4 linked regions of the Neurospora crassa OR74A genome follow. Each later gene encodes a partner of the first gene's protein in a complex. Links are inferred from orthologs where the notes say so. Each region holds a gene or a part of one and is shown in the gene's direction. Other genes may lie near its edges.

Evidence for each region.
Region 2: the proteins of pcn (region 1) and NCU08427 are in contact, whole or in part, in a crystal structure (PDB 1SXJ), measured with the Saccharomyces cerevisiae proteins. The link is inferred for Neurospora crassa OR74A from reciprocal best matches to the Saccharomyces cerevisiae genes POL30 and RFC3. Residues at the interface, in NP_009645.1 of Saccharomyces cerevisiae: Val40, Asp42, Ser43, Arg44, Val45, Leu46, Phe125, Lys127, Glu129, Lys210, Tyr211, Glu232, Pro234, Ala251, Pro252, Lys253, Phe254, Asn255; in NP_014109.1 of Saccharomyces cerevisiae: Lys73, Asn74, Ser76, Asn77, Asn95, Gln96, Asp99, Phe100, Ala101, Ser102, Thr103, Arg104, Gln105, Ile106, Phe107, Lys109, Lys112, Asn140.
Region 3: the proteins of pcn (region 1) and NCU06481 are in contact, whole or in part, in a crystal structure (PDB 2OD8), measured with the Saccharomyces cerevisiae proteins. The link is inferred for Neurospora crassa OR74A from reciprocal best matches to the Saccharomyces cerevisiae genes POL30 and CDC9. Residues at the interface, in NP_009645.1 of Saccharomyces cerevisiae: Ser43, Arg44, Val45, Leu46, Leu47, Leu126, Ile128, Thr206, Gly208, Tyr211, Glu232, Ala233, Pro234, Phe249, Leu250, Ala251, Pro252, Lys253, Phe254, Asn255; in NP_010117.1 of Saccharomyces cerevisiae: Pro36, Lys37, Gln38, Ala39, Thr40, Leu41, Ala42, Phe44, Phe45.
Region 4: the proteins of pcn (region 1) and NCU10467 are in contact, whole or in part, in a crystal structure (PDB 1SXJ), measured with the Saccharomyces cerevisiae proteins. The link is inferred for Neurospora crassa OR74A from reciprocal best matches to the Saccharomyces cerevisiae genes POL30 and RFC4. Residues at the interface, in NP_009645.1 of Saccharomyces cerevisiae: Leu25, Asp71, Ser74, Thr95, Pro96, Asp97, Lys117, Leu118, Met119, Asp120; in NP_014547.1 of Saccharomyces cerevisiae: His95, Gln98, Lys99, Lys100, Leu101, His102.

What each region holds. Positions count from the first base shown.
Region 1 is NC_026501.1:9,446,991-9,450,559, forward strand, and holds pcn (proliferating cell nuclear antigen), read left to right. Parts: upstream 1-1,404; 5' UTR 1,405-1,640; intron 1,641-1,761; 5' UTR 1,762-1,763; coding exon 1,764-1,805; intron 1,806-1,901; coding exon 1,902-2,621; intron 2,622-2,694; coding exon 2,695-2,712; 3' UTR 2,713-3,067; downstream 3,068-3,569. Other genes in the region: NCU09240 (hypothetical protein), read left to right, coding at 3-703. UniProt on the Saccharomyces cerevisiae protein: This protein is an auxiliary protein of DNA polymerase delta and is involved in the control of eukaryotic DNA replication by increasing the polymerase's processibility during elongation of the leading strand. Involved in DNA repair.
Region 2 is NC_026502.1:4,032,089-4,035,516, forward strand, and holds NCU08427 (activator 1 subunit 3), read left to right. Parts: upstream 1-1,198; 5' UTR 1,199-1,329; coding exon 1,330-1,463; intron 1,464-1,524; coding exon 1,525-2,168; intron 2,169-2,231; coding exon 2,232-2,623; 3' UTR 2,624-2,893; downstream 2,894-3,428. Other genes in the region: NCU10392 (hypothetical protein), read left to right, coding at 1-785; NCU08428 (MFS transporter), read right to left, coding at 2,894-3,231, 3,296-3,428. UniProt on the Saccharomyces cerevisiae protein: Component of ATP-dependent clamp loader (RFC and RFC-like) complexes for DNA clamps, such as the POL30/PCNA homotrimer and the checkpoint clamp DDC1:MEC3:RAD17 complex.
Region 3 is NC_026503.1:1,560,127-1,564,324, reverse strand, and holds the start of NCU06481 (DNA ligase), read left to right. Parts: upstream 1-1,387; 5' UTR 1,388-2,146; coding exon 2,147-2,175; intron 2,176-2,496; coding exon 2,497-2,825; intron 2,826-2,888; coding exon 2,889-4,198. Other genes in the region: ace-2 (pyruvate dehydrogenase E1 component alpha subunit), read left to right, coding at 16-102, 161-672. UniProt on the Saccharomyces cerevisiae protein: DNA ligase that seals nicks in double-stranded DNA during DNA replication, DNA recombination and DNA repair. The mitochondrial form is required for mitochondrial DNA maintenance but is non-essential while the nuclear form is essential for cell viability.
Region 4 is NC_026505.1:3,556,592-3,560,070, reverse strand, and holds NCU10467 (replication factor C subunit 4), read left to right. Parts: upstream 1-1,375; 5' UTR 1,376-1,484; coding exon 1,485-1,588; intron 1,589-1,659; coding exon 1,660-1,880; intron 1,881-1,980; coding exon 1,981-2,729; 3' UTR 2,730-2,968; downstream 2,969-3,479. Other genes in the region: arg-4 (arginine biosynthesis argJ), read left to right, coding at 1-358, 414-692, 753-780; NCU01294 (hydrolase), read right to left, coding at 3,319-3,479. UniProt on the Saccharomyces cerevisiae protein: Component of ATP-dependent clamp loader (RFC and RFC-like) complexes for DNA clamps, such as the POL30/PCNA homotrimer and the checkpoint clamp DDC1:MEC3:RAD17 complex.

The sequences.
Region 1 (3,569 bases):
AGGCTTCCCCGCTATCCCCGAAACCAAGTTCCCTCTTTCGCCCAACCGCGAGAAACGCCGAACGCAATTCCGCAAGCTCGACTCTCTATCGACGGGCATCCGCGGTCTCCAAGCCAAGCTGGCACTATTGCGTGAAGAATCCGAGAAAGCACTCAACGAAGCCGACGACATCTCTGAAGTTGGTTTCGACCTCCTGTCGCAATACGAGTCCATTGGCCAAGACCTCAAGATGCTGCAGCAAGCCTGGGAGGATGGCAAGGCTGCCCTAGCATCGGGAATCGACCGCAACGAGAAACGTATTTCGTCTATGAGCATGCTGTACTCGCCTGCTACCTCTCTAAGCGGGTTGACCACTGTCGGCGAAGAGAACGAAACCGGCGGCGGAGCGGAGGATGCGCTGAAAGCGCTCACCGGGGAGACGTCTCCCACACGAAACTCCTCGCCAAGTCCCAACGAGCCGGATGTGTTTGAGGCGGTTGCGCTATCGGCTCGGCCCAGGAGTATGCTGACCAGGGAAGAGAGATTGGTGAAAATGAAAGAGGAGAGAGAGATGAGGGCAATGCAGAGAGAGAAGGCGGAAGCGAGTAGGGGCATGTTGAAGGAGTTGGAGATGGTGATTAATCTGAGGCCGAAGAGACATACAACCATGGGACCAGGCGGGGGAAACGGCAGGAGTGCGGCGCCGACGAGGATTTCTTTATGACGACAGACAAACTCTGCGGCATTCGCGCTGTCTTTCTTTCGGGTTTCTTTTCTTTGACCACTATAATCTTACATGGCATCAAGGCATTGCGCGCAGACAAAAGAGAGGGGCGAACAACAACGACGAGAAGGTCAGCTTGCCAGTTTTCTTGAAAAGCAACAACAGCAACAACAACAACAACTTTGGGTAGAATGGCGTTTTGACGGACATACAGACCATGGGAACATTTGAAAGCTGGGGCAGGCAAGCGAGCAATGTGGGACACAGAATTTAACGGCGTTTACACAGTTTATACAGACGATCTTGGGCGGGCATTCTGTAACAAATTCTTTTTTGAGTTGGGGGAGGGTGTAAGATAGGTGAAATAATGTAATAATCAAAATATATTGGAGAATGGAGGTAGAACAGAGTTCGCGCAGAAATGAGGGAGTCGAATAGTTGAAGTCATATCATCGGAACTTGAAGTGAGCAGCATACCTTTGGTTCGACATTGCCGTCGAGACACGATCCAAACAGAAAGAGGGGATTCAGGGCGACAGCTCCCACTGAAAACGCGAAGATTGCGCCTGAAAGCGGACTAACAGCGCTGGAGAACGGGACCGTGCACCGGGAGCTAGCCTGAAGCGGTAAATCAATTAAGCCTAACCCCGGCTCAGCGCGTTTAGCTGCCATTAGCAGGCGCGTCAAGTCGCGAAGTGGGTGTCCCGGCACCACCTGTGGTATTGGTGGTTCCTCTCTTTTTATCGTCCATTGCCTGCCTGTTGCAGCTTTTTGAACAAAACCATAACTCTTCCCAAATCCAAATCTTTTCTTCTCTCTTCTTTCTTCGTCAAACCACGAGCGCCTCTCTCTCCCGAAAGTGATACCCAGCGCGCGCATATTTTCTTCCCTCTTTGTCTTTTTTTCCCCCGTCGAGTTCGGTAATTCACATCCATCAGTATGTCGTCTCTGTCTGAGCGTGAAGCTGCCTGCTCGCTTGCTCGCTGGCCCGGCACTAGGAAGAAAAGCTGGAGAACTGGAGTGATGGGTTGCTGACTGGAGGACTACCACAACAACAGAAATGCTTGAAGCACGGTTGGAGCAGGCGTCGATCCTGAAGAAGGTATGTCATGTCCTCTTCCTGTCAAGTGCTGTCTGTTTCCTTTCCCAGCTAGAAGACCCCCACTAACTCTGTCATGATGATGACGATGATGTCCAGGTCGTCGACGCCATCAAGGACCTCGTGCAGGACTGCAACTTCGACTGCAACGACTCGGGCATCGCCCTGCAAGCCATGGACAACTCGCACGTCGCGCTCGTGTCCATGATGCTCAAGACGGAGACCTTCTCGCCCTTCCGGTGCGACCGCAACATTGCGCTCGGCGTCAACCTGACGTCGCTGACCAAGGTGCTCCGCGCCGCCCAGAACGAGGACATCCTGACGCTCAAGGCCGAGGACGCGCCCGACGTGCTCAACCTCGTCTTCGAATCTTCCGAAAACGACCGTATCTCCGAGTACGACCTCAAGCTCATGGACATTGACCAGGAGCACCTGGGCATTCCGGATACCGAGTACGCGGCCACCATCAGCATGCCGTCTTCTGAGTTTAAGCGCATCACCACCGACCTCATGGCCATGAGCGAGAGCGTCAACATTGAGGCGAGCAAGGACGGCGTCAAGTTTAGCTGCCAGGGCGACATTGGCAACGGCAGCATTACCCTCCGCCAGCACACCAACGTTGATAAGCCCAGCGAGAATATCGAGATTGAGTTGAGCGAGCCGGTTTCCCTCACGTTCTCGCTCAAGTACCTGGTCAACTTTTGCAAGGCGAGCGCGCTGTCGAGCACGGTCAAGATCTGCCTCTCCAACGAGGTGCCCCTTTTGGTCGAGTACAACATTTCGGCTAGCAGCTACTTGAGGTTCTATCTTGCGCCCAAGGTATGTCTTTGTTTGTCATTTTCTGGGTGGTTGTTTTCTGTCAGGCGTGATGCTAACTGGTTCTGATTCACAGATTGGCGACGAGGAGTAAACGCCCCATTTACCTCCAACAACCGAACCACATCTTTGTTACGAACACCACGAAACTATGCCTTCATGTATACCTCGAGTTGCTATAAAATCATGGGGAGGAGGAGAATTGCAAGTCATGTAGAAGATAAGGGGTGATGCAGTGATGAGAAGAAGAAAAGGGATATGAAGAAAAAGAAATCTGTGTTTTTGAAAGAGTCTGGCACTAGTACACTACACACAAATGTTTTAGAGGGCGTTTTGTTCTTTCTGCTGCGAAGATGAATGTTTAGGGGAGACGACGAGGTGTCAATGATTATTGCGATGGCCTCCAACAACACACCTTCACCAAGGAACCCGATGCTGTTGTCGTTTCCTTTTTTTTTTTTTTTTTTTTTTTTTTTTTTGTCTGATGGTTTCTAACATTGATATCGGCAAACTGTCCTCCCTGTATCACTATGGTAATCATCGCTTCTCGGGAGTTCAGCTTGGCGTTGAAAGTAGGTATCTCAGAAGTGGGTTCAATCACAAGTACACCAGTACTGACATCACCACTTCCCGTCAGTCGGCGTGTTTTCCAGAAATCTTCCACCCGACTGTTTTTTTTTTTTTTTTTTTTTTTTTTTTTTTTTTTTTTTTTTTTTTTTTTTTTTTTCATCCGATGAAGTTCCTGGTGTTCACCAGCTTCCCCACATTGTTCATTCAATGTATGTAACTTACCTACCCACCACCTGCGTGACGTCCCCTCCCGCCTACAACAGCCCAGGGCCCGGGGCGCGCCCAGCAGCTGAATGGACTCCGCATTCAAGTTGCCCCTAACCCGCCCTGCAGGAAACTTTTTGGCGGGGCATGGGTGGTTCCTGGGGAAAAAAAAAAGAG
Region 2 (3,428 bases), on another chromosome or scaffold:
CATGTCGCAATATGACATTCATAACCGACCGCGTGAATGGAATCCAAGGTATCTTGAACGTGATCAAAGATCATTTCTTTTCTCAGAATGTCGAGTTTGTGCACGGGATGCCCACGGGGGAGCTCCTGCATCCAGGGCTTCTTTGGCGACCACGACGGGAGCCGAAGAGAATCCATATGGATGAGAAGACAGAAAGACCCCTGTGGCCAAGTTGGGCATGGGCCGGGTGGACTATACCAGTCTACTACGACTCGGGTGCTGACTTTTCGGCCAACAGCACTGGTCGATATCAAGCAGAAATCAGCCTTGGCCCGGACCCCTACTTTTTACACCTGAAGGCTCGCGTCGCTCGGTTCAGACTCATGATTGAGGACCGAGGCAATGAGGATGCGGTCCCTCCACTACCTCGGGTCCGGCCAACACGGTTGACGCGGTATGCCATCACACATGCGACACATCCTGAGGGAGGTGATCACGAGTGGATTGGATCCATATGGTTGTCGTGGTCCCACCGAAGAAAGTTCGTTGAACAACGGTTGAGTCTTATTTCGAAGGGTACACACGAGTTCATTCTTCTTTCAGACGCAGACAAGTTCGAGCAAGAGGAACTGGTGCAAGCGGCAACAGCCGAGAAGAGAGCCGTGGTCAACGTCATGATGATCGAACGAAAGGATGATCCAAGGACGGATGGTCGGGTTCGCATTGAGCGTGCGGGTGTGGGCCGAATGTACAGAGATACCTGGGATCGAGTTGAAGATAAGTGGGAGAGGTTTGAGTTGGGATGAGACGGAGTGATGAGGCTGGTAGCCAAAGGAGTCACTTGGTCGGGCATCCTCAATATTGGCGTCCCGACCCAGAACTGGAGTGGGAACGTTGATGTGATTGGTGGTTCAATTTCATTGGAAAGAGAGCAGTAAACTTAGTTCACTAAGAGAAGAGGATGTCCACATGTGAAGAGATTCCATCCTAGAGAACAAGGAGAGTGAAGTGAGGGTGAGCCTTTGAGGTTGTAAAGTTGAAGTTTTCAAACAGAGACCATGGATGAATGAGTGGAAGAACAGTTGAGCTTCATTAAACTGTGGCTGGGGTACCAATACTCCACTAACCGTGTGTGGCTCAGCGCCCAAAACCAATTAACCAGCCACACGAGGGGCCTGTTGCCCGACGCGTCTGTCCTTCCTCTCGACGCGTTTTCCCAGCTTCACTTTCCCGGCCTCACCAAGTAAAAAACACCACCCAACCATAAAGTTCACGTCGGCGCAAAACCTCCAGAGTAGACTTCAGATCACATCAGCCTCGACATCAGCGACCCAGCCCAATTCTACCACCATGTCGGACTTTGAAGACGAAATGGACATTGATGTCCCAGTGTCCAAGGACGTCATGTTCGCTGCCACCAACACGGCCAAGGGCAAGCGAAGCGCTGCCAACCTGCCTGTTGAAGCAGAAGACAGTCTCCCATGGTAGATATTGCCCCCCATATGTCTTCATATGCCTATCAAATATCTAACCAGCCTGTGACAGGGTCGAGAAGTACCGCCCCGTATCCCTCTCCGATGTGTCTGGCCAACAAGACATTCTCGCAACCATCAACAAGTTTGTCGACACGAACCGACTCCCCCATCTCCTATTCTACGGTCCCCCCGGTACCGGAAAAACATCGACCGTTCTCGCCCTGGCCCGACAAATCTATGGCGCCGCCAACATGCGCCAGATGGTGCTCGAGTTGAACGCTTCCGATGACCGTGGTATCGACGTTGTGCGCGAGCAAATCAAGACCTTTGCCTCCACCAAGCAGATCTTCTCCCTCGGCTCCTCCTCTTCGCGCTCGGGGCTGGCTGGTTTCAAGCTTATTATTCTCGACGAGGCCGATGCTATGACGTCCACAGCGCAGATGGCCCTCCGTCGCATCATGGAAAAGTACACGGCCAACACTCGCTTCTGCATCATTGCCAACTACTCCCACAAGCTCAGCCCAGCCCTCCTGTCGAGATGCACACGGTTCCGTTTCAGCCCTCTAAAAGAAAAAGATATTCGTGTCTTGGTGGACAAGGTCATTGACGAGGAAAACGTCAAGATTCTGCCAGATGCTACCGATGCGCTGGTGCGGTTGAGCAAGGGTGATATGCGTCGGGCACTAAACGTGCTCCAGGCTTGCCACGCGTCAAGTAAGTGGTGGTGTCCTCGTCTCGCCTTCTGTTGCGGGCCTCAAGCTAACCCAGGTCAACCAGGCACACCACTCCAACCAAAGAACGCCCCCAAGATCGCCGAAAAGGACATTGTACGGGAAACCATCACCATTCGAACCATCTACGACTGCGTTGCCGCCCCACCACCCGACGCCATCAAAAAGATTCTCAGCACACTTTTGAGCACGAGCGACGTCACAACCTGTCTGTCGACTATCAACACCCTCAAGGTTGCACAAGGTTTGGCCCTTGCCGACATTATCACCGCTCTGTCGGAAGAGATCGTCAAGCTGGAAGTCAAGCCGCAGGTCATGATCACATGGCTTGATGAACTTGCCAAGATTGAGCATCGGGTAGCGAGCGGAGCCGGAGAGGTGATCCAGACTGGTGCGGTAGTGGGTGCGATACGGAATGGTGTAGAACTGATGGGATAGGGTTGTTGTTGTTGAGACTCAAAAGCAAAAAGCTACTCGGTGTTGTTTTGTCTGCATCTATGGTTCGGAGTTTAAGCATCTGGCGTTTGGGCAATCGATCAAATTTTACCTTCTTCGACTGAAGTTACCAACTCCTCATTTCCACCTTTTATATTATGCCCCTTTCTTCCTACGGCAGGGGGATATCACGACGGAGAGCTACAATACGGCAAGAAATATAGATGGATAAGTAATCACTATTCATCGCGAGACTAGCTAATGATATCCAGCTTAATAGATGTACCTGAATCCCGCTGCTCTCCTATCACCCGACGCCGCAACAGCCGCAGTCTCTGGGTTCTCAGCCTCTTCCGCCTCGGCCCTCTCCAGCTTCTTGTTCTCCCATTTGTGCAGGTAGCGCAAGAACAACGCCAACAATCCCACAAAAAGGCAGATTACAGAATTTGCACTACCTCCAGGTATGTACTGTGGCGCCGCCGAAGCCGGGTACATGTATGACCCGTAAATACTCGCTGTGTTTCCAAACATGTTGGCAATAGCCACAGCAGCCGAGCGCTTGACCATGGGACGAGGGAACGAGTTGGCAACCCACGACAGGATGATTTGGTCTGTGGGTCTGTTAGTCCTCACCTTCACCAGGAACTACGATAAAGCAACGAAAAAACCACTCACAAGAAGAAACTGCTCCCATGGGCATCAAGAACATGGCAAAGAACCGTGCTCCCACCTTGGTCGTGCCCGTCGCCACCGCGTTTCCCACCGCAGCCAGCAGCATCAAGAAGAAGATATGCAAACTGCGATCGCC
Region 3 (4,198 bases), on another chromosome or scaffold:
AATACATTGTTATAGGTGATGGTGCCAGCAACCAGGGTCAGGTCTTTGAGTCTTTCAACATGGCCAAGCTCTGGAACCTCCCTGCCCTTTTCGGCTGCGAGAGTAAGTAGCCCAGGTTTCATGGTCTTAGATACTCTTACTGACATGTATGATGGTGCAGACAACAAGTATGGTATGGGTACCTCTGCCGCCCGCTCGTCGGCCTTGACCGACTACTACAAGCGTGGCCAGTACATCCCCGGTCTCAAGGTCAACGGCATGGACGTCCTTGCCGTCAAGGCTGCCGTCGCGTACGGTAAGCAGTGGACCAACAACGACAACGGCCCTCTCGTGCTCGAGTACGTCACCTACCGCTATGGTGGTCACTCCATGTCCGACCCCGGCACCACCTACCGTACCCGTGAGGAGATCCAGCGCATGCGCTCCACCAACGACCCTATTGCCGGCCTCAAGCAGCACATTCTCGAGTGGGGTGTTGCCTCGGAGGAGGAGCTCAAGAACCTCGACAAGGAGGCTCGCGCCTACGTCAACGAGGAGGTTGCCGCCGCCGAGGCCATGCCTCCTCCGGAGGCCAACCAGCAGATTCTGTTTGAGGACATCTACGTCAAGGGTACCGAGCCCGACTTCATCCGTGGCCGTACCCCTGATGAGCTTTTCTACTTCAAGCACTAAAAAAGTTAAAATTGAGTAGAGAGGCAGAAGTAATGACAAACTAGATGGGTTTTTTCAAGTTACAACCAAGAAACTTGTCCTTTCCTCTGATGCATATCACAAAACCAAAAATGGTGCTGGCGTCTTTTATCTACGTCGGCCATCATGGACGGTCGTCACTTCTTCTTTCCATTTTCCTTGTATAATAAAACATTTCTGCGTAGCGCAAAACAGTCACAAACACAACCACACACACAAACACATATATATATATATATATCTAGACAGGTTTTAGGGGAAAGGGATGGGGAAAGGGAAGGCGGGTTATGAAATTGATAAGCTTTCAAGATAGCTGTCTTGTTATGATGCAACAGCTGAATGACTGGGCTTGTGAGATGAGGTCCGATATCGTATCGCAGCCTGCCCCTCCCTGCCCAGCCTCGAATTGCCAGCCCTGTCTGTCGTATCAAATCGGGTTCTCAGCCCAACATTTTTGAGCTGTTGGAGATTTGGAGATCAAATTGATGGGCGGTGCTTGGCGCTTACGTTGCGACGGTAGGCGCTACCCCAAATTTCGCCCGCACAGCAAGGGGTCCCTGACTGCTGTCACCCGTGCGCACAATAGTAGGGACTATTGCTTTAGTGTATGTACAACGAAGCACAGAGCCTTAAGCAAATACTACACTAGGTAATGTAGGGAAATGCGTCTCATGTGACCGTGCCACTTTACGCGACGGTTGCCTGGACTTTTTGTTAGCGGGAAAGGTAGCAGGGATCGCGTTAAGGAACCATGGACAGAAAGGCGCGTCACGTCATAAAAGGTTTAGCGCGCGGCGTAAGTAAGTAGGGACAACACTCGGTACACTACTACATACCTAGTACACGACGACGGCAGCAGGGAACTCCATAACCTAAGGGAAAGCGCGCCGACTGCGACTCAATACCAGGCAGAAACAGGCAGCAGCAGCAGCAGCAGCAGGCCCTATTTTTCTCAATTGGTATTGTTGGTAACCAGGTTACTGGATTGGAAGACTACCTAGGTATTTGTTGGTATAAAAGGACGAACGATCCGTCGTGGGAGGAAAGAAAGAAAAGTTCGACAATCCTGGCGCCCAGACGATTTCTCCCACTGCTTGTTAGAAGCAAGGGAGCTCCAGCTTCTGCGGTACTACCGACTGCGACTTCGACTTCGACTGCGACGAATTTTGCGGCGATTGGGTTGGCGACGAACAAAACTCGGGCGAGAATCGCAAAGACAAAGACAAATCAATTTCCCTCTTCTCAACTTGGCCTCCTCGGATCATCACTTGGTCGACTAAGTCTCAACTCGAACTCGGCTTCGACAACCTCACCGGGCGGAGGAGCGAACTTGTTATCAGCAGTTGGACTTGCTGGGCTTACACGACTAGGAGGAGGACGAAGAAATTACGCTAGTTACGCTATACATAACATCAACAACATCACGAACAACAACCCCAGAGATACCGGCACAAAAATGCCTCCCAAGCAGCAGCAAACGTTGGGGTACGTTAAAGATAAACCGAGGGGAGGGAGGCAGACTACGTTGGGGTTAGTAGTTGAGTGCGTAACGGATCGAATGATTGATCGCAAAACGTTTTTGGAAACCATTTTCGTTTTGTTTTTTTGGAGACAAATATCGAAAACAATTTTTGAAAAGACGATTTTGAAACCTCCAATTCTGGAGAGAGACACATTGTTCGATTTCCGGTTTACACACTTTACTATCACCATTTTTTGGAGTCTAGTCTATCCCTTTTCCCTTCCCTTCCCCTACTGAAGTACTGGCAGAACAAGAGGCTAACGAGATGACAAAACCCATTGCAGCAAGTTCTTCGGCAAGGCAGACGCCCCGGCGGGCGGGAAACAGCAGACAAAATTGTCTTTTGGCACGAAAGCGACGTCGACAACATCATCGAAGACGAAGGAAGAACCCAAAAAGGACGAGATTGCCGGCGAAGATGGGGGGCATGAAGAGGTAGAGAAGAAGGTGGAGGAGATGAAGATCAAGGATAAGAGTCCTGCCAAGACGGGGAGGGGGAGGGGAAGGCCGGCTAAGGGGAAGGAAGTTGCTAAGGAGGTAGCTAAGGAGAAAAGCAGCGCAGAGGAGGACGAGGATGTGATGGAGGTCGTGGAGGAGGTGAAGGAGGAGACAGGTGAGTTACGTCCTTGAACGTGACGTTGGTGGCATGGTGACTAACGACTGGGACACGAAGCAGGCAACAAGAAGAAAAGGTCACGGTCACCGACGACCAAAAGCCCTAAATCGAAAAAGGCCAAGACCGAGGAGGACTCGGAGGATGTTGCGCCTGCCAGCAAGCGGTCGAGGAGAAGTCGCAAGGTGGTTGAAGACGACGAGGACGAAACCATGGAAGATGTTCCCGCGTCTTCTGCGCCGGTGAAGGAGGAGAAGAGCAAAAAAGCAGCATCACCCAAGCCGGCACTAAAAAAGAAAAGTTCCTCTCCCGCACCGGTAGAAAAGGCAAATGATGCGGAGGCATCCTCAGCATCCGCATCCGAAATCGAAGCCGAAGAGGAAGACGAGGACGAAAAGACCGAAGCAGTTGCCAAAGAGGCCCGCAAGGTCATCCAGACCACACTCGCAACCAAGGTCAAGGACCCCTACCCGGACTGGAAGGCCGGCGAACCTGTTCCTTATGCCGCCCTCTGCACGACGTTTTCGCTCATTGAGCAGACGCGGAAGAGACTACTCATCATGGAGTACTGCTCTCTTTTCCTGCGCCAAGTCCTCCGTCTTACGCCCGACGATCTGCTGCCTACCGTCCTGCTCATGATCAACAAGCTTGCGCCGGATTATGCAGGTATCGAGCTGGGTATTGGCGAGTCGCTCATCATGAAGGCTATCGGCGAGACTACGGGCCGTAGCATCGCTGTTGTCAAGAACGACCAGAAGGAAATTGGTGATCTGGGGCTGGTGGCTGTCAAGTCGAGGTCAAAGCAGCCGACCATGTTCAAGCCCAAGCCGTTGACCATTCGCGGTGTGCATAAAGGGTTGATGGATATCGCTACGACTATGACGGGCACAGGTGCCCAGCAGAAGAAGGTGGATGGTATCAAGAAGCTTTTGTCTGCTGCGGACGCAAATTCGACTGGCAAGGTGGACATCACCAAGGACAAGGGCGGGCCCAGCGAGGCCAAGTTCATCGTCCGGTTCCTAGAGGGTAAGTTGCGGTTGGGGCTAGCAGAGAAGTCCGTCATTGTCTCCCTGGCGCAAGCCATGATTGCACACGAGTTCGCCCAAAAGGGGAAAATCCCCAGCGAATCCGACTTTAGCAAAGCCGAGTCGATCCTCAAGACTGTCTACAGCGAGTTGCCCAGCTACGACGTCATCATCCCCGCCATGCTCCAGCACGGCATCATGAACCTCCGCGAGCACTGCAAGCTTCGCCCGGGCGTGCCACTCAAGCCCATGCTGGCTAACCCAACCAAGGCCATCACCGAGGTGCTCGATCGCTTCGAGGGCCAGACGTTCACGTGCGAGTACAAGTACGACGGCGAGAGAGCGCAG
Region 4 (3,479 bases), on another chromosome or scaffold:
CCGTTTCCTCCACCGTACTACCCGCCGTTCTCAAGCACGCCGTCGACCGTTCGTTCAACAGCATCACGATCGATGGCGACACTTCCACCAACGACACCGTTGCCCTGCTTGCCAATGGTGCTGCTGGCGGAAAGGAAGTCGTTGCCAACACTCCCGACTACGATGCCTTCCAGACTGTCCTGACCGATTTCTCTACCGACCTTGCCAAGCTGATCGTCCGTGATGGCGAGGGTGCCACCAAGTTTGTTACTATCCGCGTTGTCGAAGCTGCTAGCGAGGAGGCCGCTAGGAAAATTGCCAGCACCATTGCCCGTTCTCCCCTGGTGAAGACTGCTCTCTACGGCAAGGATGCCAACTGGTAAGTTGCGGAAAATTATCCCATGCGTTTCGGCAGCTACTGACGTTGTCATTAGGGGCCGTATCCTCTGCGCTACTGGTTACTCCCTTGTTTCTGAGCCCGGCCTTCCCGTCAACGATGTTTCTGAGGTTGTCCCTGAAAAGACCAATGTTTCTTTCATCCCCACTGACGGCACTGCTGAGCTGAAGTTGCTCGTCAACGGCGAACCCGAGCAGGTTGATGAGGCTCGTGCTGCTGAGATCCTCGAGCTTGAGGACCTTGAGATCCTTGTCAGACTCGGAACTGGTGACAAGCAGGCTACCTACTGGACTTGCGACTACAGCCACGAGTACATGTAAGTTGATCCGCCCTCATTCGAGTTTGGGTGACGACTGCTGACATAAGATCTGAATAGTACCATTAATGGAGACTACCGCACGTAAGAAATCACTGATAAGGCGTTACTGGTACTTGGGGAGGATACCCGGAGGTAGACAGGATAGAAAAAGCTCATTTATGCCATACTCTGTGCCCTCCCCTTCTTTATTTCGTACTCTTCCATGATATGCACACGTCGCCCGCCACCCCGACCACACATTTCGGATCTAACTACGCTCCGTAATACACTTTGAGGGTGGTTTGCGCAACTTAAGCATGGAGGTAGCGAATCCTGTAATGGGAAAGCACGCACATTTGTCGAGTTACTCGAAGGGATGTGCTGCCAAAGGCCTCTGGATAGATGTTTGTGGCAACGTCAGACTAAGCTCTTCTCAACGCTGGCTTGAACAGAAGCTTAGTCTAATAAGAGTTTCAAAACCTCCAAGTCCGAAGGAGCCATCACGATTTTTTTTGGATTTTTTTTTTCTTTGGTTTTTTTTATCCCATCAAGACAAACGAACAAGGTCGGACACTGAGAGTTTGCTAGAAGCACTCCTAGGGTTAGGGTATGACGATCTCGGCCAGACCCATGCAAAACCACTTAAAATCGATAAACGCGACGCGTCGCGCCGCTCCACTGACCTTTTCCTCCAGACAGCTCAGAAATCGTAAACCAACAAACAACACATCGAGGATCGCAATACTTAGAAATCTGGGGGTTTGAAACAGGCCATCCGCACAAGAAAACTTCGATTATTGTCCACCCAGAATGCCATCAGCCAAAGCAGAAGAGAGGGGCGAGTCCTCAACCTCCATCTCCAAGGCTGCAACCTCGGTCTCCGCAAGCTCTTCCCCGACCTACGAGCTACCATGGTGAGTCTAATCAGGATTCAATGAACTCTCGATCTCCATAGGGCATCAGGCTGACCAGCAGTTACGAACAGGGTAGAAAAGTACAGACCAGTTTTCCTTGACGATGTGGTCGGCAACACAGAAACGATCGAGCGCCTCAAGATTATCGCAAAGGAGGGCAACATGCCCCATTTTATTATTTCAGGCATGCCTGGTATCGGCAAGACGACGAGTGTTTTGTGTCTGGCAAGGCAATTACTAGGTGATGCGTACAAGGAGGCGGTACTGGAGTTGAATGCCAGTGACGAGCGAGGTTAGAAAAGGACAAGAGCATCCAGCTCTGTGGCTATGAGCTACGCCAAACAACACAAAAACCCCCCCATACTGACATACCAACCCAAAAAAACAAACAGGCATTGAAGTAGTCCGCCAGCGCATTAAAGGCTTCGCCCAGAAGAAAGTCACCCTCCCCCCAGGTCGGCACAAGATCGTAATCCTCGACGAAGCCGACAGCATGACCTCGGGCGCCCAACAAGCGCTTCGCCGCACAATGGAAATCTACTCCAACACCACGCGCTTTGCCTTCGCCTGCAACCAATCCAACAAGATCATCGAACCTCTGCAATCCCGCTGCGCAATCCTGCGCTTCGCCAAGCTCACCGACGCGCAAGTCGTCAAACGCCTGCTGCAAATCATCGAAGCCGAAAAAGTCGAGTACAGCGACGACGGCCTGGCCGCGCTGGTCTTCAGCGCCGAGGGAGACATGCGGCAGGCGATTAATAACCTGCAATCTACACACGCCGGCTTCGGCTTCGTGAGCGGGGATAATGTCTTTAAAGTTGTGGATAGCCCGCACCCGATCAAGGTGCAGGCGATGCTCAAGGCCTGCTACGAGGGTAATGTTGATGCGGCTCTGGACGGGCTGCGGGAGCTGTGGGACCTGGGGTATTCCAGTCATGATATTATCAGCACCATGTTCAAGGTCACAAAGACGATTCCGACGCTGAGCGAGCACGCTAAGCTCGAGTTTATCAAGGAGATTGGGTTTACGCATATGAAGATTTTGGAGGGCGTCCAGACACTGTTGCAGTTGAGCGGGTGCGTGGCGAGGTTATGTAAGTTGAACATGGATCCGAAGAAGTTTGCGGTACCGAAGAAGTGAATAAGGGGGGGCTTCGCGAAGAAAAGAAAAACAAAATTGCGAAGGGGGTGATCCTGGGGCAGGAATAATGAGGTTCATAAAAGATAATACCCGAGCGAAAGCTATGAATTGAATTGTTTACTCGGCGTTGGTTTTGATGTTTAGTCAACTGGCATAGCATACTGCACTACAGAGAAAGGAGTATAGATGGTTAGCATGTAGCATTTGCGGTGTAGCCGGCAGCGGAGCATGAAGTGTAGAGGATTCCATTGAGTGGATAATATCCGGATGCGTCGTTCCTCGTGAGATGTGCAATTTACCCAGAAAAAGGTAGTAGGTATATGGAACATGGCATGTGAACTTTTGGTGCCGTCATTGAATCTTTTACTTTCCAATTTATATAGCCAACCCGGTTGCCCGGTACAGTGTGTAAATATTTTCCAGACCCGTCCAAACCCTCAAAAATCTCCATTCAAGAAGAGTAACAGAAGAAGTCGTTCATCGACACAATTTCAACATGTCAATCTCATTCACAACACATCCGAAAAAAGAAAAGGAGATTATCGCAATCTGTAAGTTCTTCGAGATGCCCAACACTAATATTTTTCTTTCACACAGAAACAGGCGACAACAAATCCAGAGGATAATACCTCCCGTTGACCCTAGCCCCACCGTTGCGTCCCCTCTCGGCAGCAGGCTCCCGGCGATGAGGGTCAACAGAGTGTGTCCTCCTAGACGGCTGCTGCTGGGTAGATATCTTTCGACCTCTAC